Linked DNA regions of Xenopus tropicalis. The protein of the gene in region 6 interacts with the protein of the main gene of each other region in a biochemical or structural test. Links are inferred from orthologs where the notes say so. Each region holds a gene or a part of one and is shown on either strand. Other genes may lie near its edges. The genes, in order: camk2a, lck, mark1, dyrk1a, fyn, mapt and gsk3a.

Region 1 (3,500 bases), on a different chromosome or scaffold from region 6:
AACCAACAAGTAAAATGTACAGGATAACCCCTAGCCAAGATTTAGAGAGAATAAATTTGTCAGTATTCAAATATTGCTTTACCCTTAAACTATATGCGTATAACTGCTCCCACATTTATAAAATAGGATTGAGAAACTTGCCTCAGGTGGCAGGTCCCTGCAGGTTACCGGGGGCCAGAATCATCTATGAATATATAATAGCAATTTAACTAAGATCTTTATGGTTCCGCAGCAATGGAATGCAGCACCAGCAACAGAACGTGAGTGACTGGCCAACAGGCTAAAAGTACTGCATGGTCAAAGTGATGACTGGCACCCCTTACAGCTATACACCCGACATATCATTATTACACATTGGCACTGCTTCATTGCAGTCCATGTAACTGAGTTACCTCTGAATACATTGGTACTGCAGGTGACCTAAAATAAAACCTCAATTTTACATACTCTGATTTTAAATTTTCTCTCGTTTTACATTATTATTTGTGGTCCCACCAATATATAATGCATTTTCCTGCTTTAAATTTTTCCTGGATTTTACACCATCTTTTCTGGTCCCCTGGTGGTTCCACTGTAATTTTAAAAAGTCTTGCATCAGCTGCATTGAATAAGAAGTGATCTATACCCTCTAAACCTCATCAACAATTCTTTATGGTCAGCTGCACTGAATTTAATGCATGTGGTCAAGTTATTTAGAACTATAATTGTCTTTAAAAAGAAATAGTAGGTTGGTTGTGAGTTTGCATTCTGATGAATAAAAGAATCTTTTAGACTAACTTAGAAATTGTTTCTGCTTAGGAATGTTAAAAAAAGAATCATTTGTTCAGTAGACATTTTTAACAGGAAGGGTTAAAATCTTTACCACAGGCCCAGAGATCCACAGCCTTTCCATAGGGGTCTTTCCTTAGAACTTCTGGGGAGAGATAGCCGGGCGTTCCTGCAAAGCCTGTGAGAACCAGATACATGTCAGTCTCCAAACCATGATGCTGCCATGACCCCTCGATAGGGTTTTTAGGGCAAAAATTTACAAAATACAAATAACTGATAAAGTACTATTTAATAACAGATATTTGTAGTATTTATTTTATTATCTGTAATGACCCCATCCTATCACCCTTCATTTGAACTTTGCGGGTTTGTACTAGGGATCTCGCAAGAGAACTGAGCATTAAATTGTTCCTTGGTAGTAATAGTCTGGGTGGGCAAGGATATCATTATTATCATCAGCATATATTGACAGCACATTTTGTAGAGCTTTACAATAATATCACAATAAACAGTGGGCCTTACAGAAAATAGCAAAGGTTAGCTCTGTACTTCACTTACCAAACCAAGCCTGTTGTTCGCCTTCCACCTCAATGGCCAGCCCAAAATCTGCCAGTTTGACAGCTGCTCCCTTTAGTTTTGAAGCCAAAAGAAGGTTCTCTGGCTGTGCAAGGGAAAACAAAGGAAAACAATTAAAACAATGTGTAATTTTCTAAAACAGATAAAATAGCAAACTGCAGCAAGAGTTTGTTGCTGTTCTACCAACTTTTTTATATCATGGTGAATGGAGGGAAGAATGGAGAGAATTGGAGAATTCTAGTTACCAACTGCCACCTAGAATAGAGATGTGCATAGGACATAGGTCCAAGGGTCAGGCGGCTTAGAGAACATTTTGAGCTTGGGGTTGTGGTAGGTTATTTTGTTTTCTGAAGGACTGAGGAGGGAATGGGCAAAAAACACAATCTGCTTTCAAGTAGCTTGGCCTGATTATGGCAGGTGCAGCAGTCATCATGATAAAAGATCAATGTAGGTGCACCTTAGTGCTATGGCAGAGGGAAGCCAAGGACAGTCTTGGTATAAAATTGCACTTTGGGTAAAAAAACAGAATGAATTGGTATGTATGGTATTTAAAAAGGAAGACTGTGATGAAAGAACAGAGTGTGTGATGGCTCTTTACTGCAGTTGCACATACACCATGTTGTAGATATTGGTGTAGAAACACCCTGATGAAAGAACCAAGGGAATAATTTTATTACATTATTGCAATATAGTACATGTAGAAACATCATACAACCAGGGAAATGGAATATGCTCTCAGTATGCAGAATGTGTAGGGGAAACATGATGAAAGAAAACTGGAGTATGGGGTGTGTGACCAATGAGGAAAACTGGAAAGACCCAGAGAATGATGCAGGCAAACATGTACACAAGGGTGTCTGTATAGAGGCAACTGCTGGATTCATACTGCCGCTACCCTCACCTTCAGATCTCTGTGCACTACCCCCATCTGGTGACAATGCAAAACTGCTTCTAGAATCTGCTGAATGCAATGGCTGCAAAAAAGAAAGCAAAAACAGGACATTACATTGCTCTCATTACGTTAATAGACTATTTGGCAGTCCCAGAGGTTTCATACTATACTCCGCTAGAGGCTTTGGCCTTGGTTAATTAATAAAAGAAAAATACTGCACATTAATGAACACTAATAGCACATATGGCCATTTGCCCTGACTTTTCTATACTAAACCAGTACCCCCCCCCCCCCCATATATAATAAAAGGCCCAAGTGCTGTCACCCATAGAAACTAATAAGATTTTTTTTTACACATGTAATCAGAAACTTAGAGCCTTTTATTACATTTCCTCGGTGGAGTTACCGATGTCTTACCATATTGGGCAATATTGGAAAATTGGCATATCTGCTCAGTGGTTACCCAGAAACACAGGTTTCATAACCATTGGGATTTACGTTATTTCACATTGTCTACAAAGATAACCAATCCCTGTCATTGTAGTGAATGCTGCCAATCTAGGCCAGGACTGGCAGTCTGGGGATTCTGGCAAATGCCAGAGGGGCTGCTGTTAAGATGCCATAGACAGTTACTATTTATTTGACCAATTGGGTCTATGTGTAATTGAATGCCAGGATCTGTTTCGAATCCCAGTCCAGACCTGTGCCATTTAAAAACAAAAAGTAATCCCCAGGATTGGCTTAGTTACTCTGTAGGTTTAATCATTTCCAGATAAAATGAGAATTGGTCCTGTAATCTGCAGCCTGAGGCATCATTTGTATGCTTGTAACCTGCATAGTGTGCATTTTGCACCCAAAACAGCCTTCTGTCTTGTTAAAGGAAAACTATACCCTCAAACATACCCAGTAGTTCTCTATAAAAATATATTGCATAAAGCAGCTCAAATGTAAAACTCTGCTTCACCTAAATAAACCACGTTTATAAAAATATATTTTTTAGTAGCAAGTTCCTTTGGGTAAGCCAAAATTACCATTTTAAATACTAAAGGCTGGCCCCACGGTGTACACAAATAAACCAAGGGCACACATACTCGTTATGTCACATCAGCCAATTAATAGACTGTCTTTTACTCCCACACTACTTCCTGTTACACCTGCATGATTTCCTGTCAGGTGATCTCCGAGAGAGCCCACAGCCCATCACTAAATGGTGGTTCAAGGGAAAGAATGTAAAAGGGCAATATTTACTGATATATATATATAT
Region 2 (3,300 bases), on a different chromosome or scaffold from region 6:
TAGACAGTGTCAGGAAATTTGCAATTTGTCTTCTTTGTGTGTGTGGGTGTTTCTTTTGTTTAAAATCTGTTTTGATTACTAGGGCCTATCAGGCAATGTTTTCATTGACAGACTGACAAATGAATAGGTGAGTATTTGAATAAAATTATTAAAGAATAACTAAACCCTAAAAGTTGTATTGCTAGAAATGCCATATTTTATACACTGGGCTTATTGAACCAGCCTAAAGGTTCAGCATCTCTATAGTCGTAATGAGCAAGGCCTTCAAGGTTGTTCCAGAGGGTCCCCGTACTGGAATCTGTTAGAAGTGTCAGTGACACTGCACATGCTTAGAAGTATATTTATCATGCTGTGTAAGAAGTGGAGTACAGCATCACCGGTGATGTTGCTCATAGTAGCCAATCAGATGTTTGCTTTGGTTTTCTAACTGTTGAAATCTAATTGCTGATTGGTTGCCCTGGGCAGCATCACTGGTAATGCTTCACTCCACTTTTTACACAGCATGATAAATATACCTCTTCGTGTGCTCTGGGCAGCTGTTGAAAAGCTAAGCTTAGGGATTGTTGCAAATTGACAAGAAGAACATGAGGTTTGTCTGTTATAGCGTGTGATGCTACAGGGCTGATTATAAGTTCTGATGCAGAATAAACTGGTTTCTAGACTGCCATGTTATGTGAATCTGCATCAGTTACTGATCAGCCATGTATTGGGACATTTATATACTATATTTACAGTATGTTGTGAGTCGATCCCTAAGCTCTGTAACTGACCACAGCACAGAGCATGCGCAACGAATCAGCAGAAAATAAGTTGAGAAGCTACATGGGGTATCTATGGAGGAATAGATCTTCTCTGCTAAAGGGCTTTTGTTGCTTTGGGCTGGTACAGAAGCCCAAACATAATGTACAACATTTATAGCCTGTATCTTTAGTTAGGCTTTAATACTCCTTTAATATAGACACCTTCTTATATTAAACTATTCTTGTGAATTGTTGATGGGGATGATATTGTTATTTCAAGTGCTTTTCTATTATCTGAGCAGGTTGTGATATCTTCCCAGTTGTGGGCAGGAATGTATTCATGACCCTGCATGTGATGTAATCATGGGGGTTCTGACAATTATACTCACCTGATGAAGGAGACCTCCAACTAATTGTTGTGCGGTATGAATGGCTGAATATATTTGCCCTAAGCTATTCCTCTAAAAGTCTGGGTCAGTGTCATGTGTGGTAAAGGCCCCAATGTGGTTTGACACTTGATACAAATATCTGAGATATCAATTATTCATACCTAAACTTAAGTGTGCAGTTTTCTGAACATGAAGTGATTCCTAAAATCACCTTCTGTTTTTAGAGGGCACAGTGGGCATAATTTTTCTTTGATCTACAGAAATTATAGCTGTAGGTCCCAAATCCAGAGTTGTACTAAGGTGCCATCTCATCAGACAGTACCAGCTCAGAACTATTTTGGGGGGTCCTTGGTTTCTCCCTACTTAAGGTTAATTTGATGCTGGGTTTTATATGACCCATAAAGCTGGTATCAGTTTGTTTTCTGACATGCTTTATCAGAGCACACTTCTTATGGCTGAGACTGATATGGGCCCTCTGTAGCTGTGAAGAAATCTTCAAGCAAGGATCGTAGAAATTCAAACGTGGGCCTTTCCTCAGGTTCCTCCTTCCAACAACGAAGCATCAGCTCATACAATTCCATAGGACAGTTGTCTGGCTGAGGCATACGATAACCTCGTTCCAGATTTTCTATAACCTCTGGATTAGTCATGCCTGGCACAAGAAAGAACAGTTACTGGGGCATACTGACTAATTACTGACTTAAAAAACAACCTTAAAATTAACTTATAGTATAATGTAGACATTGACATTCTAGGATAATTGCAACTGGTCTTTAGTTTGTATTTATTTATATAGTCTTTCTGTTCTACTTCTTTCCAGTCTAACATTTTAAATGCTCACTGGTCACTAATCCTCTGGGTTGATATTTGATTCTTTGATCATATATTTTTCTCATTCATCAGCTGTTTTTATTTATTTATTATTTATCTGTCACAACTACCTAGTAACTTGGGTAAGTAACCAGATAAGAGTTTCAGTTTTAAACTGGAGATCTGCTAAATAAAATGTTAAATAATACCACTGTCTACATCTTTCAGAATTCTTATAGCATGTATCTTTGCAAAGCAAAGAAGCACTCCAGTGTGTCGGCAATGCGTTTAAATCATTTATTTGCAGAAATGAACAAACCGCACAAGCTTTCGTGGGTGACCCCTTCTTCAGGTGCTTCTTCCCCTTTGCAAAGATACATGGAAAAAAGGCTTGGGAGCGGCTGTGGAAGTTAAGCACCCTTTGAGAACATGTATGTAAGGGGTGTGCTGAAGATTTTTGTTTATGTTGATAGCACCTTATAGCAACCAATGAGTGATTATCTTTTTTGAGTTGCATTGAAGTAGAAATGTGAAAACAAAAATTTGGTTGCCATGGGTTACTACACAGTTACACACATTTGCCCAGTGTGGATAATTGAGCCCCAAGGTGTTTTAATGAGACCTAATAAGCTGTGTATGCATAATTACCTCAATGTGGCACCTACCTTGCCTTTTGACATCATTTGGCAAATAGAGTGACTACCCTTATCAATATTTTATGTTTGCACAAATAATTTGTAATTTTATGGTTCATTCTTTGGTATTGGCCCATGTCTTAGGAGCTGGACATGCCTTTATAGATGTAGGGCTATTATCTATGAAAATATTGCTGTCTGCCGTTATCCGCTCATAGATAGAATAAAAACTCTGGGCACTTACCCTTCCAAAATATATATCTACAAATGTGCTGTGGAAATGTTCTGGTCAAACAGCAAATTAAAATCTCATAAAATTATGAGAATCATAAAAATAATGAGAATTATGAGAGAATAACACAATCTTTGTCTGTAAATTGTATTTTATTTATAGCTACAACAAATCAGGGCTATTTTTGTAGCTTAAAAGGTTACAATATCACAATATATGAAAGAGAAAATTATATTATGCAAAAACTATCCACATTGCTCTTCTACATTCTTACCTTCAGAAAACCTGGCCTACTACTTTACTCACCTGGGTATGGAATTCTTCCATAAGTGACAATTTCAGTTAGCAGTACACCAAATGACCACACATCTGATTTGATGGTGAAAGTGCCATAATTAATGGCTTCAGGAGCTGTCCATTTTATAGGAAATTTGGCTCCTGTGAAGAAACGTTTGGGTATTATGTAACAGTAACTAACTAACATTCTTCAGCAA
Region 3 (4,191 bases), on a different chromosome or scaffold from region 6:
GCTTATCTGCCCCTGTATGTGGATCCCCGATGGGCCTGCCAGACCAATATCTAGCCTAAAATTGACCAGATGTTGATCAGGCAGGTTTGATTTTCCCATTGGATCGGGGGCTGCATCGGCTTAGTGATGCAGTCCTTGCACTGATGGGTCCTATTCCCATCATAGTAATTCGACCATTTGGCCCGGGGGCCAAAGATCAAATTACTCTGATATTGCCCACCTTAGTTGGGCAAATCGGTGGAACGATCCCCTCCTTGGGTGACCTTGCCAAACAAGCCGATCCTATGGTTTAAGGCCACCGTAACCCAAAAATTATCCATGTAATCTGCCCATGACCTCCCAAAGTCAGGAGGGTTATCTTACCTGCAACCCAGGGATGCTTCTGTAATAAGCAAAGGTGAGAGCCAGAAATTCAGTTGTTTAATCAGAGAGCACAATTGCCCTCTCTGGTGCTAGAAACCCCCCCTAGATCCAGCAACGGGGAGGTCTGCATAGGGGATGGGTTGGGAAACACTGTGTCTGATTAGGTAGTAGCAGAAGGTCCAGTGGCAGTGCCAAAGCTAAGGGGTGCCCTAAGCAAGCCCATACCCCCAGTCACCCCACCTCAGTTAGGTATCTGTAGGGTAGTGGGTTAACGAGTGGGAGCAGCGATGTAGTGTGTGGGGCCCCACTGTCTGGAAGTCAAAATAGGCCCTGTCATTCCAAGTACACAGAGGCCCAAACAGCCCAATAGTGACTGTCTATGGCATCTTACAGCAGCCCCTCTGGCATTTGCCTAAACCCACAGATTGACAATCCGGGCCTGGCTGAACTAGGGATAGGCTGTATGTACCTACCCGCAGCCCAGTCTGTTGCACCCTATGCACATAGGCTTTGCAGGCATTTTGTGGGTACCCGACCAGACTTTAAGAGGTATAAAAAATATAATTATTACAGTGATCACAAAGCACTATGTTAATTCTTACCCCCAGAGGCGCCCTTTGACCACCCCCAGGGGCGTAATGGGAGTTGGAGTCCCTTAATAGCTGAGCACAGGGGGCTACACAACAATCTCCCTGTATTAGTGTTGGTGAAATCCTGTTCCCTACAATAAGTACAGGTTGCGGTTGGTCAGTTATTTTCCCTTCAGACCTTGGGAGAAATTATATTACTGTACCTTGCAGCCATAGGCTCTAATGCACCTCTACAACTCCCAGCACCCTTTGATCTCAGCACCCACCCCGCCCTGGGAAGATACACTCAGTAAATTATCTGTCCAAGGACGAGGAATAATGGGAATTAAACGTGTGCTAACTACAACTCCCAGAATCCCCACTCAGCAGCTGTCTCCTCTCCCCCACCCCCCCTGACAATGTGTCAGTTAATCCCACCCATTCCCTGGGATGATCCCAGTGGAAGCGGCAGTCCCCCAGCCGGCCTGAGGGGGGCAGTAGCAGGAGGAAGGGTTCGGGGTTGGCAGAGCCTAAGAGAGAGACCTGCTCCCACCATCCCTCTTCACTGGATTACTGGGACAGCACCTGCGGCTGGGAATGAGCCTAAAGGCGGCCAGGGGGTCCCCAAGCACCCCGCTTTGAGGCGGAGTAGGAAGAAGGATGCTGCTGCCGTCGCTGTGATTTGTCACACTACCATGCAGGCTGAGGGGCGCCCTGTGTGACCATCCCTGTCATTCCCACCATCTCTCTTTCCCACTCGGTTATCGCTATTACTGCACTGAACCCGCGGAGGGGGGAGAGGCCGGAAGGAAAGCCCGGGCAGGAGGGACTCGTCTCTCTCTGTATCTTTGGAGCCGAACAAGATGTCGGCCAGGACGCCACTGCCCACAGTCAACGAGCGGGACACGGAAAATGTGAGTATCCCCCCCCAGGGGGTCACTTGGTACAGCCTTGCAGATATTTAGGGGCCGGGCGGGCCAGAACATTGTATGGGGGAAGGGGGGGGGTCACTTTGCACAGTCCTAAAAATCCAAAGGGGTCAGGCGGGCTAGACCACTGCGAGTGGACGGGGGGGATATCCGCTTCCCCTTAAAACATGTACAGGCCACTTGGTACAGCCCTGCAGATCCATAGGCACTGGGGGAAACGCACTGAGTGGGAACCCTCGCCTCCCCGGAACGCAGCGCTGTAAGGGGGGGGGGGGGGCTGGGCTGTAAACCCCCTCTGTCTATTCTCCTTGTATTGCTGTGGGGCCGCCAGGGCTGCTGGGAAATGTAGTCACAGAAATTGCTTTGAAGAGATGCTGTTAGGGTAGGGCATTTGCCAGAGCCCTTAGCTGTGCCCTTTGGGAGGGATGCCGGGGGCCTACCCTTGTGATTGCTGGAGAGCTACAGGTTGTGGATCTCTATTGTACAGTGAGCTGCCCAATGTGGATATCATAGAGACTCCAGGGTTAGTGAGCCTGTATGTACAGCAAGGGCCACATTATGCCCAGTTGGGGTATATAGCTACTGTTGGTGCCAGTGTGTCTGCTTATTTATGGCACCTTGTAACCTATTTAATTGTGCCTTACACACACTGTATCTTGCCCTGCTGTTATATCTTGTGTGCCAGGGTATAGGGGATATGGGTGCCCCCCCTCATGTCCAAACCTGCGGACCCCATTGTTGGAAGGTTTTGCTGTCACTGCTGATGGCTGTATAATGTAGCTGCATGGCTGCGCGGAAACCAGCACAGTCGGATGCAAGAAATTGAGCAAAACGTCATGCAGCTTTGTATTAAAGGCAGAAGGTGGCAGCAAGCTGGCCCTGATGGTGTGGCCCAAACTGTCGGAGAGGCTGTGCCACTGGTGTAGGAAGCCAGAGTGCGGCCGAATATTTGGGGTGGTTTTACGACTAGGGACCATGGTCTGTATGAACTAGTCCTTAAATACCCAGTACTCTGTCACAGGGACAGAAATGGCTACCAATGTCTATTGCCAACCTGCCAGCCAGAACTGAAATTCTATTCATATCATTTCTCCTATAAGAAACAGCATAGTTGCCCCCTAGAATGCTGGGGCTTCTGGGAGTTGTAGTGCAACAAGCGGGTGCAGTATTTCCTGGTAAATCACAGAGAGGACTTGTGGGAATGCCGGAATGCCAGAGCTAATTACATCCTGAGGGATAAGGACAAAAGCCCTGTTTGTTTTTCCTTATTCCCCTGCAGAGGTGGCACACTGGGCTGACTCACATACAAACACTGGCACGGGCATCACTGGGAACTGCTGCTGATCCAACCGTTACATTTAGCTCTGCCCGTGTATTCCATATAATGCAACATCCCCACGTCCTCGGCTGCAAATGTTCAGCGCCCTGCGTTTATCCTTTCCGAGGCCGCAGCTGCTTTGTGCCTGACATTAAAGGGTAAATCAACAGATACCTTGCCAGCCTAAGCTGGGGAGGAAAAAAAAAGTCCATATTCTCCACTGTATGTCCTGTTATTGTGGGCTCACCTTGCCAGTTCCAGGATTGTCACCGTGTCACGTTTGGCAGAGGAAGGAAATACTTACGCACCGTTTGCCAGAGGTTCTCTAATCTGGTCTCGCAGGAATGCGATTGAGCCTTAATTAAACTCTTCCTACCCACACTTGTTTTTTTTTAATTAACCCATTTAATGCGCTGGAAAGAGGATGATGACGAGCTGTGCAAGGTGGAGGAATGTTGCCATTTAAATGCTCGGTGCCCCAAACCCCGTATCTATTTTACTACCTACCTTTATGGGGTTTTGGTTCAGAATACGGGAAGTCATCGGTTTGCTTCAGGGCATAATCATATCTAACCGGATCCCCTTTAGCTGCCATTGGATTTAGGATAAAATAACCTGTTGAATTTATTAAAGGGGCTTTGGGGTGCTGTTGGATTTACTCCGGTCATTGGATTTGGACACTGGTAGATAATCAAAATTGCAGCCATGGAGCACTTGTGCCTGTGGGGTTTGCTGTGCTTGGCACCTTGCTGTTGGTAATAGGGGTGCATGGGACATTTTGACTGCTGGGTGGAAATTAGCAGCTTTCATCCATTTATCAATGGTTCCCATGTAGGAAACGCGTTCGATTTTATTTAGTTATCCTATAAGGGTGAGTAGGTGGTGTAATATTGCACCCACATCAATAAAGAACCTGCGCCATAGGCTGTTCCTTTAGCTGGGTGTTAAATCTGACCCAAGGCAGGGTAAGTACAAGGATCTGCCTTCTCCTAATGGTTCTCCCTAGCTTGCC
Region 4 (3,500 bases), on a different chromosome or scaffold from region 6:
CTTTAGATTTATAGAGACTTTGTGGAAGGAAATAACAGCATTTAGCAACACAAATTAAACCATACTAAATGAGCGTTAGTAACCTTAAGAATGCACAGTAAGGAGTTTCCTGAGGTGTGGGTGCTACATTTGGGTGCTAGAGAACAAATCCTCATACCCGAGCTAGAAGATGTGCTAGAGGTGGTTCCTGATGACTGGGACTGCTCCATTGCTGGACTCGTTGATACACTGTTACTCGTGTTTGTACCTTCGTCAGCAGTTTTCTTAAAGAAACTATGTTGCAGAGCATAATAGGGTTGGATACGGGTCTTGGCATCATAATCCAACATCCTTAAAATGAGGTCTTTAAACTTCAAGTAGTCCGCTACAGTATGACCTGATTCCCCGCCTCGGCGGCCACCTGGTCCTCCAGTTTCTACTCCAAGTAGGTTGTGAAGTTTTCGGGTTCCCGGTGGTTTGTACTCCTAGAGTAATAACACAGACTCCCGTTAACAACTTGCTGGCACTGGATATACAGGCACAACAGTATTTGTCTATAAACAAAATAAACAAGCAAATAACTATGGGTTGGTTTAAAAATGGTGGTGCAATGTGATAGGGACCTTAGACTGTAAGCTCCTCTGGGGCAGGGACAGATGGGAATGTGATAGGGACCTTAGATTGTAAGCTCCACTGGGGCAGGGACTGATGGGAATGTGATAGGGACCTTAGATTGTAAGCTCCACTGGGGCAGGGACTGATGGGAATGTGATAGGGACCTTAGATTGTAAGCTCCACTGGGGCAGGGACTGATAGGAATGTGATAGGGACCTTAGATTGTAAGCTCCACTGGGGCAGGGACTGATGGGAATGTGATAGGGACCTTAGATTGTAAGCTCCACTGGGGCAGGGACTGATAGGAATGTGATAGGGACCTTAGATTGTAAGCTCACTGGGGCAGGGACTGATGGGAATGTGATAGGGGCCTTAGATTGTAAGCTCACTGGGGCAGGGACTGATGGGAATGTGATAGGGGCCTTAGATTGTAAGCTCACTGGGGCAGGGACTGATGGGAATGTGATAGGGGCCTTAGATTGTAAGCTCACTGGGGCAGGGACTGATGGGAATGTGATAGGAACCTTAGATTGTAAGCTCACTGGGGCAGGGACTGATGGGAATGTGATAGGGACCTTAGCTTGTAAGTTCCACTGGGGCAGGGACTGATGGGAACTGAGTGCTAAGCTGTATACATATAATACAACCCAGTGTATCTAGTGACAGTTTTATACATGTATATTGACTATACAGAAAGAGCAGGGACTGCACTGTATAACCAAATGTGCCTTTTGGGCTTAAACCTCATTAGAAACATGCAAAGCCGTTGATTCCTTTTCCATTCCATAGAATTTAGCAAATTACCTTTTTTCCATCTTTGGTCTTCTTTAAGTTCCAAGTGCCTTCTGGCATCTTCTCAAAGAACTTTCTAGCTTTTGGTGCTTGGTCAAGGATGTGAGCAGGTGGTATTCCTAAAACTTCCACAATTTTACTCATTTGATCAACCTACCAAGCGACAAAAGCAAAGTCAGTCGAGGCAGAACCCACACATGATGAAGTGACCCATTACAATTATGGGGCACCATAAAACAAATATGCCATCATCAAGTTATTTATATTGGGTATCCCATATATGTGACTGTCTGTGGGAAGACCCGAATAGGGCACAGAATTGCAAACTGTGGGGAGGACTAAACTTGGGAGGCAGTAGCCTTATAGGTGGCCATAAAGGCCCAGATTTAGTGGGGACTATTCTAAGCATACTGTAAGCATCTAAACTCATTTGGCTTTTAAAGGAAAACTAAAGCTTAAATAAAGAAGGAAATATTGTACATTATGTTTGGGGGGTTGTGTACCAGCCCCAGGCCCCCACAGCCCTTTAGCAGGGAAGATCTTTGCTCCTTAAGATTGCCCCAGTAGCCCCCCATCTCCTTTTCTGCCGATTCCCTGCCCATACTCTGTGCTGCTGGCACTTACCTGAGCTTAGGGGCCCACTCACTATATACTGTATATATAGAATATAAATGTCACAGTATAACCTGAGCTTAGGGGCCCACTCACTATATACTGTATATATACACTATAAATGTCACAGTATAACCTGAGCTTAGGGGCCCACTCACTATATACTGTATATATAGAATATAAATGTCACAGTATAACCTGAGCTTAGGGGCCCACTCACTATATACTGTATATATACACTATAAATGTCACAGTATAACCTGAGCTTAGGGGCCCACTCACTATATACTGTATATATACAATATAAATGTCACAGTATAACCTGAGCTTAGGGGCCCACTCACTATATACTGTATATATACAATATAAATGTCACAGTATAACCTGAGCTTAGGGACCCACTCACTATATACTGTATATATAGAATATAAATGTCACAGTATAACCTGAGCTTAGGGGCCCACTCACTATATACTGTATATATAGAATATAAATATCACAGTATAACCTGAGCTTAGGGGCCCACTCACTATATACTGTATATACCAAGTATAAATGTCACAATATAAGGCTGATTAGTAATTAATACAGATAATTACTACATGGCAGCTCAGAAACCAGTGCAGCTAGCGTGAGAATGTAATAATCACTGCTGAGCCACTGAGTTTTTCCCCTGCTGGTTGGTACTAAATCAGCCGCTCTAGAGCCAAAATTCGGATTTCCTGAATTGAAATTTCAGCTCTTCTGGTGCAGAGAGTGCTATTGTGCTGTCTGCACTAGCAACGCGGCCCCCTCCAGCGCAAAAAAACTAAATTCAGAGTGGCAAGGTGGGGGGCATTCCCTAGGCCACCTCAGGGAAGTAAGTAATATGTAGCACACCACCTATGGGTGGGCGATATCGGGGGAATTTAGGCTAATTCAATCGTTTGGCCCTGGGGCCAGCTCAATGCCGGACTCTGGGCGCTCCACCCCAACCCTGGATCGTGGGCAAAAGTAAATGGAACGTGACACAGCACACAGGGGTGGGGGGTGCACGCAGTGGGTGGGTATAGGCATGCAGACTTTGCAACTGGGTGAGGGGCCAGTGAGGTGGCAGCCCTTGTCTCAGACACCCCATTCCATAAGTGAGCATGACAGCATAAAAGTGATCTACCAATTTAAATCCATGGCGCATTACAAAAGGAAAATAAAAGTGTTGCTACTGCCTTACCTCATTGGCTCCACTGAAGAGGGGCTCCCCAGTGTGCATTTCTACCAAAATGCAGCCAAGGGACCACATGTCAATTGCAAGGTCATAAGGCATTCCTAGTAAAACCTCAGGAGACCGGTAGAAGCGACTCTGAATATACTGGTATATCTAGGGACAAGAAACAAGGTATAAGCCGATTGGCTTCCGTGGCCTCGGTTTCGTGGGAACAAGAGCCAATCCTTACCCTCTGCCCTAGCTGGCACGAGCTTCCAAAGTCCACAATCTTAATGGCGCTTCGTTTTGGGTTACAAAG
Region 5 (3,500 bases), on a different chromosome or scaffold from region 6:
CTGACATGCATAGGGGTATTAATGTGGGTTTCATTGCTCTCTTTGTGACGGGGAAGATGCATATCATCTACAAGTGCAGATGCATGCCTTGCAATATCTGGAAGTGCTTGACTAGCAGAAGTCTTCACTGTGCATGGCCTTCCTTTAGTGTAAATAGCCATTACACTGCATTACAGAAGTGTATATTTTCTGGTTGCTGCTGTTGGAATAGGCTCTCTTCTGCTAGTATTTACAAGACACATTCTGGTTCATGTAATGGATGGAACTATATAATAAGCGTTTAGGAGTAAGACCCACAGTGATGTATTTTTCTTCTGCATGCCAAGTGAGCCCTGCTCCTACAGCAGACACCTCAGGCACGTACGGTAAAGGGTTCTTTACCTGAGCATTTGGTGCGGAAGAGTAGTATGGGTAGTGTCACTTCATACCTGAACAGGATGCAGCAGATATCAGCTGCCTATCTGCACTAAAGGATGAGATTTTTGCTTGACAATATTATACCTTAAAGGAAAACTATACCCCAAAACAATGTAGATCTGTATAAAAATATACTTCTTAAAAAGATCATATATAAAACCCTGCTTCATCTAAATAAACATTTTCATAAAAATATACTTTTTAACCCCCCTTCCCTCCCCCCAACCCCCTATGCGACCCCAACTTTACTCTTTCTATCTTCCCCCCACATGTTTTATATGTAACCTACCTTGTTGTAAAACAAAAATTAAAAATAAAGTTTTAAAAAATAAATAAAAATATATATACTTTTTTAGTAGTATGTGCTGTTGGGTTATCCTAAATAGAAAATTGCCATTTTAAGAATGAAGGGCCGCCTCCTGGGATCATAGGATTCACAGTGCACACAAACAAGCCAAGGCACACTTACATGCTAGGCCCCATCAGCCAATTAATGGACAGAGTTCTGCCTTTTGCCTCCACACTTCCTCCTGTTACAGTGAGAGCTGCATTATTTCCGGTCATGTGATCTCTGAGGGAGCACACAGCCCATCACTAAATGGTGGATCAAGGGAAAGCATGTAAAAGGGCAATATTTACTGATATATATACATATATAGATATATACACAAGCCTTGGGGCTCCCCAAAGACAAATTCAGCTGTTGTTAGGGATATTCTTATATATCCTATTAATACATCTGGAATTTCTAATTTAAAAAAGTAATAAAGTTGGTTAATTTGAATATTGTTCTAATGCAGGTAGTTTACTAGATTTCCTAAAGGATGGAGAAGGAAGAGCCTTGAAGTTGCCAAATTTAGTAGACATGGCTGCCCAGGTACAGTAAAGTTTCATTATTAATTAAGGTCATCATTACTCAAACTGCAGTCTAAGCTTCATTAATCAACTCCATATTATTGAATTTATTTTTATTATTGCCTTTTTTTACTTACTGTTGCAAATTTATTTACTAATGTTTTCTATTTTTACTGACAGGTTGCTGCTGGCATGGCTTATATTGAGAGAATGAATTATATACACAGAGATTTGAGATCTGCAAATATTTTGGTTGGAAATGGCCTTATTTGCAAAATTGCTGATTTTGGCCTTGCTAGATTGATTGAAGACAATGAGTACACTGCAAGGCAAGGTATGAAAGCCATGATGATGTGCTTTTAAAGAATGGTAACAGGAACTTGGAAAGCAGTATGTAGATTCATTATCAATATGTATTACATATAAAAGCAATCGTACATAGAGTGATTTCAGGCACTTTGGTGCTGCCAGTAGCTTAGTCGTTGGCATATAATCATCCCCCCCCCCCAGTGCTTGTGTAAACAATTGTCAGGTAGCTGTCTCTTGTAAAATTGTCAATCTGCAAGATGCAAGACATTGCCCAAGCTTAATTGGCTTCCTTTAAAAACACACAAATAACACTTCCATGTTTTTTGAATGTAGTGGGAAGCTGTTGTAGCTTTCTATAATACATTACATCCTCCTATTATGGAGGAACTCAAAGATAAGGCTTGTCATAACTAGTAAGGTCATTTCTATACTGTACATCAGACCTACAGTCCAAACCAAGCACCATTCCTGCAGTCCACATTTTGGTTCCTGCCTGCACCATTGCTGTTTGGTTTCTGAATCGGGGCTGTTTAAAGGAGAAGGAAAGGCTAATAAAGTGTTAATTTCAAGCTGCAGGCATACTTTCAGTTCTCTCAATAGTGCCCTTAAGTCTCCCCATATTTTGCCTATTCAGCCTCATAGGAAAAAAGAACCCTGAGCTTTGTAAAAAAATTCCCATATTGCCACGCTCCTGCACCAAGACCATGACCTCTGTACATGCGTAGTTTGTAAGACTATGAGGAAGCTTCCTGCTGATTGGCTCAGATCCACATTCCTAAGGGCGGGGGGGGGGGGTTGTTAGCATTCTTATGGGAGAGAGGAGAGAGCTGTGCAGACTCTGGCACAGAAAAAAGTAGACAAGAAATCGTGTATTTCTTTTGATAGACAACTCAGTGCATTAAGTGCTATTTACATAGACCATTCTGATAAAGCTTACTTAGTTATTACCTTTTCTTCTCCTTTAAAGGAACAGTAACACCAAAAAATGAAAGTGTATAAAAGTAATTACAATATTATGTACTGTTGCCCTGCATTGCTACAGCTGGTGTGTTTGCCTCAGAAAGACTACTATAGTATATATAAGTAAGCTGCTGTGTAGCCATGGGGGCAGCCATTCAAGCTGGAAAAAAGGAGAAAAGGCACAGGTTACATAGCAGATAACTAGTAGATAAGCCCCATATAATGGGGGTTTATCTGTTATCTGCTAAGTAACCTGTGCCTTTTCTCCTTTGAATGGCTGCCCCCATGGCTACACAGCAGCTTACTTATATAAACTATAGTAGTCTTTCTGAGGCAAACACACCAGTTGTAGCAATGCAGGGCAACAGTACATAATATTGTAATTACTTTTATACACTTTCATTTTTTGGTGTTACTGTTCCTTTAAGGCTCTGGGCAAAGATCTTGTTGAATAGCAAAAAAATTGACCATGCCTACTTTGTGGCCACAACTTTAAAAACTATACCTATTTCACCAAAACATATCCCAGAAATGGATAATGAGCATATTAACCCCATCTGTTCCAGTTTAATCACTGTGTAGAAATGACCAATGAGCACTCCACACACGCCAGCAAGATCAGTAGATACAGTGCAAGCATTACATGCACTTGCTCAAGCAGAATACCAATAGCAAAGTTTTCTTCTTTTCTTGTGCTCCCACGCTGCTTGGCTTTCTCTCTCTGCCTGGCTTAAACACTTGTGAAAAAACCCAAGATGGCCATGCATTCCACAGTGCAATGAATTTCCTGAAGAGCAGGGAAGAACATTAACGCTGGGTGAGGAAGGCAGCAGCATAGGGGGGTAAAGCTGAGAAGGAGGGAAAAAAAGACATAGTGGCAAAAATATAACAGCTGCAAAAACATAAACATTCCAGCTGTTTAAAATCTCATCATATTTCATACAGTCGACATATTCTAT
Region 6 (3,500 bases):
AACATGATCTATGTCCCTGTCCTATTTAGCAGGAACCATTACTATGTTTGCCTTTCCTGGATTGTTTGCTACTCCAGCAGAACTGGAAAGACAGGGCAATAAACTCTGGCAGTTTACCTGAGGGTATTTAGAACTCTGTCTATAGTTCTGTCTATTAACAAAGGGTGCAGTAATGGGTAATAAGGTAAGGATAATTGCACACCTCAGACATCTGGATCTGTACTAACAGGTGTATCCTCCAGACCTACTATAAGAAGACACCTTCTGGGAAACCTGCATTGTTGTGTCATATCAATTATAGTGTATTTGTGTCTCTGAGTGTCTGTACTTGTACAAAGACTAAGCCTAATGAACCTGCTTTTTGCCATATTATCACCTTGCAACATCACGAGGATTGGAGAAGATATAGTAGGAAAGAGTTTTCATGGCTTACATAGTTCTAACTAGCACCTGCATTACCTGCGGCACGGTCCTGTTGACTGGGGGTATGCCCAACGCCAGCTTCCTCTGCTGTAGGACAGACATATAAAGGGACATTTATATGTGCGCATTATGTTTTCATCTGTGCTGTAAATACAATGGCAACTAACGGTTGCCATGTTTATTGTGCACCACAGGGATCACCTGACAGAAGTTGGGAATGATGGGTGTTACAACAACAGCTACAACTTCTGTAAAGTGATTCCTTTGGCATGCAATAAGGGCAACAGGTGGCGGTTTTTAGACTTGGTTGTACAATAAACAGTAAAAGTGGGTGTAGAACAGGCATCTCACCTATTTCCATATGCCCATAGTCCCCAGTGACATACTTCAGTCTCCATCCAGAAACTTAAAGCATGACAGTTATCCAGACTGTTTCTCAAGGAACCTACAATCCATTTGGGATCTGAAATACGTGGGAATCTATTCTGCACTTTTCTGCCAAAAATTTACTTTTTAAAAACAATTGCTGTTTGATAAACTGGGAGCACTTCTACTAATTGCAGAGTATCCACCCACTATTAAATCCAGACTCTGTGAGCTCTATCAATGGCTGACATTGAAACACTTGCTGTGCCAAAATGAATGCCAATTTCTATTGCCACCTGGTGAGTGGTGTTATGTGCAATGACCCAACAAAGTTGTCTAGTGGGTGAGTTTTATCATGAATAGTGACCATTAGAGACTGTAATTGGGGAAGAATGATACATATGCTTTTATTAGTATCAAATCAATCCATTTGTTGATAATAATATAGAATAAAAAGTATTGGTAACTTATTAATTGTTCATAATAATTCTTATAATACATTGATTATCACTGGTTGATTACTATTCTATATTAATAAGAATGCACATCATTTTTGGATCGCCTGTATACTGCTCAAGCCATGATTTGCATTTTCAAATTTGAGAAAAAAAAATTAGAAAAATAAGTTGTTCAGAGCTTTAAAGTAAAATTACTTTAAGGGTTCAGGTTCAGTTCGGCTGAACATTTAGACTGTTATAAGATAGCTGACCGACATGTTTAAAAACCTGACAAAGAAGTATGGACAGTAAGGAAAAAGCGTATACTATACATACTATAGCGCTCATCACTAACTGGCCTTTCCCACAAGCAGTATCCCATTGGCAGCCTAGCTTTATACTTTAGCTTAGAAAAGCCCAGATAATACAGATACTGGTTGTTTGAGGCTGTTGCTTTCTATCTTTAATGCAAGTACTATATTAAGTCCCCTTATTAAATGCACAAGTTGCTATGATCTTTAACACTGTCCAACCTGACTCTGTAACGTTGCAGCTTGTACTCTTGTAGTTCTGCTGCGTACAATCAAATCTCCTTAAGAACCTCTATGTTCATGTTGCTTTAGAAACCCTTATATCTACATATCTACTCCCATAGCAATATACATTCATAATTCGAAACACATATGTTGATCTGATCATGTTTTACAGAGGCTCAAAGAAGAAAGAAACATTGGGGCCAAAATGTGAGGCAGCTCAGTGACTCTAACTGCTAACCTCCTTAATTTCTTGCAATTTCTTGCCCTAGGCTCCCAGGTACGCTCTGCATGAGTTCAGGTTTGGCACATCTTTGAAATCTTTAAAAAAGTTAGAATCACTGGGGGATGCCTTAAAAAGTGTAGGTTTCTTCAGGAAATGTATCACTTTTTGCAGGATTCAGATGAAGTTCAGCCCAGCCCAAATCCAAATTCATGTGACTTTAAAGCTCTGGACAGCTGAAAGAGAAGTTTCTTCTCCCATGATGCATTTTTATGGGATTTTTCTCAAATCTGAATATATATATATTTGATTCAGTCAAAGCTTTTGTAGTGTATTTGATATTCAGCCAATTTTAAAATTTAAAAATATGAAAGTCCAGCTTTGTTGCCTTACCAGTTGTTCCCTCAGGGATCCCTGCATGGCCCTGGCTTCTCACTGCTTCCCCATTCGCTAGATCCTCTTGCACCGAGGCCGCATCTAAGAGAGGGTAATAAAGGAGACCACTTATAAATGATTTGTGCTAAAACAGACTCTCTTGTTCTCTCTCTCTCTCAACACAGAAACATGGGGTTCTAGAACAATATCACACATACAAGGTGACTTGCCATGGACTTGGTATGTGCAACTACTCACTAACAATATTTATCCATTTGCTGAATTTTAGCCATTTAGTGAAGTGTTATACCCACATTTCTTGTTATTTGCTGTAAGTCTTACCTTATATACCTTACCATATCTAAAAACCAATATAACCACAATTTCATTTTACAGAAGTTGTTGCCAGAGCCTTTCTTTACCTTATGGAGCAGAAGCTTGAGGGCTATAATAGGGGAGAGGTTTCTGCTTATACTTACCAACACACAATTTATTAAAACATTAATATAAAGCTTTTCCCAACATTCTGGGTTTAAGCTCCCCTTTGTAGGCACCCCTCAGCTTATATGAAGGTTAGAGACACACACTATATTGAAACCACATAGTAGACATATCATATAAAAATTAAGAAAATACCAGTGAATTATACTCCTCTAAGTATAGAAGGATTGTGCTTAAAAAGTTGTGTTTATGACTGAGAAATTCCACCAAAACCCCACTAGTCCCACCCATCTGTTCCACTTCCTGCTGGCTGAATTGTCTAGATGTGTAGGGGAGCCGGCGTCCCTCAGTACCCTGCACTGTAGCATAGGAACCAATCAGTAGCTAGGCTGACCTGATAGGGAAATGAAGCCTGTCTTTGCTTGTGTGACTGCAGGGCTGTGATTGGCTATCCCCCTCCCGCTGTGCTTTTGGCAGGGACTGTTAGGACACGCCCACTCTACATTTGAAACAGGGACAGACAGGATAGGATCTATAGGGAGCTCCAATAAAGGGGCCATTATTACAGATCGGATTCATTTTTAGCCCAAAGTGAAACCAGCACCATATATTATTCATAATTACCTGCAAATTAATGTTGTTAATCTCTGCACCCTATACTAGTACATTATGGGCAAAAAAACATTGGTTTTTGTGCCTGGT
Region 7 (3,500 bases), on a different chromosome or scaffold from region 6:
AATTATAAACTGCAATTACAAAGAGAACCCCTAGTTCTATTAGGGAGGGCACATGTAGTAATTTAGACCTGTGGTCAGCTACATATAGGCCAAGTAGAAAAATGGGTTGTGCACAGGGCTATAGTTAAATTGTCAATATTACTAAAACCACTTAAAATATATTATAGCTTTAAATAGCAAATGACAATATTAGATAGCTCACCAATATTTGCAGTGTAGTCTGTGGCTCCAAAAATGAGCTCTGGGGCTCTGTAATACCTCGAACATATATAGGACACATTTGGCTCCCCACGAACAAGCTGCTTTGCACTGAAAGTGAGAAAGAATGGTTTATATCCAAACGTACAGCAGCAGGCTTAGATATACAGAAGGGCAAGAGAAAAAAACAAAACACAAAAACGCATGGCACTCACCTGCCAAAGTCACAAAGCTTAAGTACAGCAGTGTCTGGATCTACCAGCAAGTTCTGTGGTTTAATGTCTCTGTGACAGACACCCTGAGAATGGATATAAGCCAAGCTGCGGAACAGCTGATACATGTATACCTAAATGGTAAGTGGAAAGAAGCTCATCAGCAGGCATAAAAATGGCATTTACTTATTTACAGAAACACTGGCATGGGAAACCCAGCTTGCTTTACTTATTTCTTGCTCCCACGTTTACTTCTGATTCAGTAGCAAAGAAGAGGCTCTAGGGCAACTTATTCTACATAGCCCAGCATTCCCAGATAGCATTTTTCTAGTGGAGGATCTTTATTGGTTTTCTCACCTTCACATAAATGGACGGTAATGAGGTTTTGGCTTTTGCAAAGTGACGAGCTACACGATAGACAGTCTCCGGGACAAAATCCAGGACCAGGTTTAGGTAAACCTCGTCTTTCTAAATAAAAGGATGAAGCTCACAGTTACAAAGAGTCAAAGTTTAAACAGAATCTAGTGTACGGTTAAAGAACCCAAAAGAAACAATGCCCATCAGTGTACAGTTGTGCTGATTTGATCTGTTGTTCTATAACAGAGGAGCATTTAATCAAGCACAAATAAAGATTTATTCTTATGTTTAAAGAAGTAATGGTTTTCCTTCTGTTATCTGTGACTTGGAAAGCCACAAATCCATTAGCTACCTACATTGGCAGAAAGAAGGGGTTAACTAAAGGGTTATGTCCAAGTACATGAACAGAATCAGCTGTACAGACTGTCTGCAGGGAATACAAGAAAAGTCAGACCTTCTCCCCACTGGAGTAGAAGAAATATCTCAGGCGCACAATGTTACAGTGATCCAGCCTGCGCATGATCTGCAGCTCCCGGTTCTGTAGGAAGAAAGGGACATTTTAATTGGAGGACATGACTTACAGAGGATAAGCAATTCAACCTAGCCCCTATTAAACAGGAACAATTGCACTGGCCTTGTGCTGAATAGATATTCAGACAGTGAGCAAAAATAGGGTTATTTTATAAAAAAAAAAAAAAAACTTAACCTTGAAAAGGATTTATCCAACAGATACTGCTATTGTCTGTATTCTATCCAGGCATTGTTGGAAGAAAGAAAGTCTCACTCCCCCGTTTAGAGTGTGTATTTTTAGAGTGTTTATTACATGTGGTACCCAAATAGTTTCATATACAGGCAGGCAGACAAAAGTTTCCAAAGAAAAATGCTTAACCCTGCAAGTGCCAGTACTAATCCCTTTCTCGCTCTCCCTGATCCAAGCTTTTGTGCATTTACAGATTAAGTCAGTCATTCTGCTGAAGGCAGCCAGCAATGAGTTGGAGCTTACCGATACTGCCGTACTTACCATGGAGGCACCCATATATAATAAACATGCATGAAGTCAAAACAGACACTTCACTACTAAGGCTAATGGCGCACATGGCCGTGCCTTCGTTTTCTACGCAAATGGAGAAAAGCCAAAGTGCTCCATTCTACTCAGATGCATGGATCAGATTCTGTTTTTTTTTGCCAATGGAATCGCATTGGATTTTCTTAATCTGCGAGCCTAATACACTTTTTAATTACACATTATACCTAAATAACACACAATGAGCATGTTTATTTTCAGGCACAGTGACTTAAGCCCTGTATTCTATTCGCCATAATGGCTCAGCACATATCCTCCACTTGTTTCATGTCCCTGCCTGTTAAATGGCTGCCCAGGCCTTGAGCAATTTTAACTTTTCCCTACAGACAACTAAGCCCCGTAATTGCCAAGTCTGTAACTAAGAGGAAAGTTAACATTTAACTAGACTATGTAGTCACTTATTTGACTCAGCTCATTTCTCATGACTTGCACAAGAGCAGGCCAGCCTGATAACCCCCAGAAGCTGAACAGCCCCAGGCCACAATCCTCTATGTACACCTTATATTTGTTTCATGGAAACATCAAGTGAGATGTATAATTCTCTCCTTGTTATAATGCTTTGAGTTTTAATTTTGCATGAATTTATTTAATAGAGTGATTTTACCTTTTCCTAAATGGTTCTTGATTTTAAAAACAAATATACATTTACAATTAAAAAAAAAATGGCTTATTGGGGTTGGCTTACTCTTTGGAACCGTTATTGGACATAGAGAACAAACTTATGTTTGGCACTTTAAATGTATGGTTTTGTACTGCTGTTTAGTGTCAGTGCACTCAAGGGGTACCGAGATATCAAAAGCACTAAATGCTGAAAACTGCTGCACAAACAGTGGGAAAAACTGAATATGGTTATCAGACTGGCTTATGTAATGACTTACCACATTTATCGGATTACACCAGCACTCTCCATACTGGTAAAAATAAGATGGGTTCCTAGCCAGAATGGACTAAATGACAAAGAAAGGAAGCAAATGTCTCCTCACGTGCCCTAGAGCAGGGATTCTCAACCTTTTTTACCCGTCAGCCACATTCAAATATAAAGAGAGTTGGGGGCTGTGATTGGCTATTTGGTAGCCCCTCTTTGGACTGGCAGCCTACAGGAGACTCTGTTTGGCATTACACCTAGTTTGTATACAACCAAAACTTGCCTCCAAGTCAGGATTTCAAAAATAAGCACCTGCTTTGAGGCCACTGGGAGCAACAGCCATGGGGTTGGTGAGCAACATGTTGCTTGTGAGCCACTGGATGGGGATTCCTGCCCTAGGGCTTTGGGACACAAAGTGATTGAGCATCTGGTTACTGGTACAGAGTATGTACCCATGTATGAGCTGCTATAAGCTTCTGGCCCCTTTAACAAGGCCTCTTTCTAACAATGTGCCTAGGCCCTCATTATGATCTGATCATTGGCCCAAGGGCCTAGGTGGAAAAAGATGAGAGCAATGCAATATGAACCTTATTTCAGGTTTTCAAAATATCACTACAAGCTAACATGTCATTCTCACACAGTAACCAAATTTTCCATCTTCTTACCTTGAACCTCTTATCCTGTAGAACTTTCTTGATAGCCACCATTTCTCCACAGCCCACCAGCCGAGCCTGGTATACCACCCCGAAGGAGCCATTACCAATGACTTTGATGTCTGTATAAG

What was found.
Region 1: of the proteins of mapt (region 6) and camk2a, one has a biochemical effect on the other in vitro, tested with the Homo sapiens proteins (2 studies listed by BioGRID). The link is inferred for Xenopus tropicalis from reciprocal best matches to the Homo sapiens genes MAPT and CAMK2A.
Region 2: the proteins of mapt (region 6) and lck form a complex in vitro, tested with the Homo sapiens proteins (2 studies listed by BioGRID, with this or other methods). The link is inferred for Xenopus tropicalis from reciprocal best matches to the Homo sapiens genes MAPT and LCK.
Region 3: of the proteins of mapt (region 6) and mark1, one has a biochemical effect on the other in vitro, tested with the Homo sapiens proteins (4 studies listed by BioGRID). The link is inferred for Xenopus tropicalis from reciprocal best matches to the Homo sapiens genes MAPT and MARK1.
Region 4: of the proteins of mapt (region 6) and dyrk1a, one has a biochemical effect on the other in vitro, tested with the Homo sapiens proteins (2 studies listed by BioGRID). The link is inferred for Xenopus tropicalis from reciprocal best matches to the Homo sapiens genes MAPT and DYRK1A.
Region 5: of the proteins of mapt (region 6) and fyn, one has a biochemical effect on the other in vitro, tested with the Homo sapiens proteins (10 studies listed by BioGRID and IntAct, with this or other methods). The link is inferred for Xenopus tropicalis from reciprocal best matches to the Homo sapiens genes MAPT and FYN.
Region 7: of the proteins of mapt (region 6) and gsk3a, one has a biochemical effect on the other in vitro, tested with the Homo sapiens proteins (4 studies listed by BioGRID and IntAct). The link is inferred for Xenopus tropicalis from reciprocal best matches to the Homo sapiens genes MAPT and GSK3A.

The regions. Positions count from the first base shown.
Region 1 is NC_030679.2:21,001,538-21,005,037, reverse strand, and holds part of camk2a (calcium/calmodulin-dependent protein kinase type II subunit alpha), read right to left. Parts: intron 2,319-3,500; coding exon 2,246-2,318; intron 1,430-2,245; coding exon 1,327-1,429; intron 947-1,326; coding exon 863-946; intron 31-862; coding exon 1-30. UniProt on the Homo sapiens protein: Calcium/calmodulin-dependent protein kinase that functions autonomously after Ca(2+)/calmodulin-binding and autophosphorylation, and is involved in various processes, such as synaptic plasticity, neurotransmitter release and long-term potentiation.
Region 2 is NC_030678.2:86,451,373-86,454,672, forward strand, and holds the end of lck (tyrosine-protein kinase Lck), read right to left. Parts: intron 3,245-3,300; coding exon 3,113-3,244; intron 1,782-3,112; coding exon 1,579-1,781; 3' UTR 501-1,578; downstream 1-500. UniProt on the Homo sapiens protein: Non-receptor tyrosine-protein kinase that plays an essential role in the selection and maturation of developing T-cells in the thymus and in the function of mature T-cells. Plays a key role in T-cell antigen receptor (TCR)-linked signal transduction pathways.
Region 3 is NC_030681.2:10,521,341-10,525,531, reverse strand, and holds the start of mark1 (serine/threonine-protein kinase MARK1), read left to right. Parts: upstream 1-1,391; 5' UTR 1,392-1,795; coding exon 1,796-1,846; intron 1,847-3,426; exon of another isoform or gene 3,427-3,505; intron 3,506-4,191. UniProt on the Homo sapiens protein: Serine/threonine-protein kinase. Involved in cell polarity and microtubule dynamics regulation. Phosphorylates DCX, MAP2 and MAP4. Phosphorylates the microtubule-associated protein MAPT/TAU.
Region 4 is NC_030678.2:12,501,150-12,504,649, forward strand, and holds part of dyrk1a (dual specificity tyrosine-phosphorylation-regulated kinase 1A), read right to left. Parts: coding exon 3,432-3,500; intron 3,356-3,431; coding exon 3,209-3,355; intron 1,540-3,208; coding exon 1,399-1,539; intron 465-1,398; coding exon 158-464; intron 1-157. UniProt on the Homo sapiens protein: Dual-specificity kinase which possesses both serine/threonine and tyrosine kinase activities. Exhibits a substrate preference for proline at position P+1 and arginine at position P-3.
Region 5 is NC_030681.2:76,827,943-76,831,442, forward strand, and holds part of fyn (tyrosine-protein kinase Fyn), read left to right. Parts: intron 1-1,217; coding exon 1,218-1,294; intron 1,295-1,452; coding exon 1,453-1,606; intron 1,607-3,500. UniProt on the Homo sapiens protein: Non-receptor tyrosine-protein kinase that plays a role in many biological processes including regulation of cell growth and survival, cell adhesion, integrin-mediated signaling, cytoskeletal remodeling, cell motility, immune response and axon guidance.
Region 6 is NC_030686.2:17,244,518-17,248,017, reverse strand, and holds part of mapt (microtubule-associated protein tau), read right to left. Parts: intron 2,460-3,500; coding exon 2,376-2,459; intron 511-2,375; coding exon 460-510; intron 1-459. UniProt on the Homo sapiens protein: Promotes microtubule assembly and stability, and might be involved in the establishment and maintenance of neuronal polarity.
Region 7 is NC_030683.2:107,331,719-107,335,218, forward strand, and holds part of gsk3a (glycogen synthase kinase-3 alpha), read right to left. Parts: coding exon 3,382-3,500; intron 1,306-3,381; coding exon 1,222-1,305; intron 879-1,221; coding exon 768-878; intron 545-767; coding exon 414-544; intron 310-413; coding exon 203-309; intron 1-202. UniProt on the Homo sapiens protein: Constitutively active protein kinase that acts as a negative regulator in the hormonal control of glucose homeostasis, Wnt signaling and regulation of transcription factors and microtubules, by phosphorylating and inactivating glycogen synthase (GYS1 or GYS2), CTNNB1/beta-catenin, APC and AXIN1.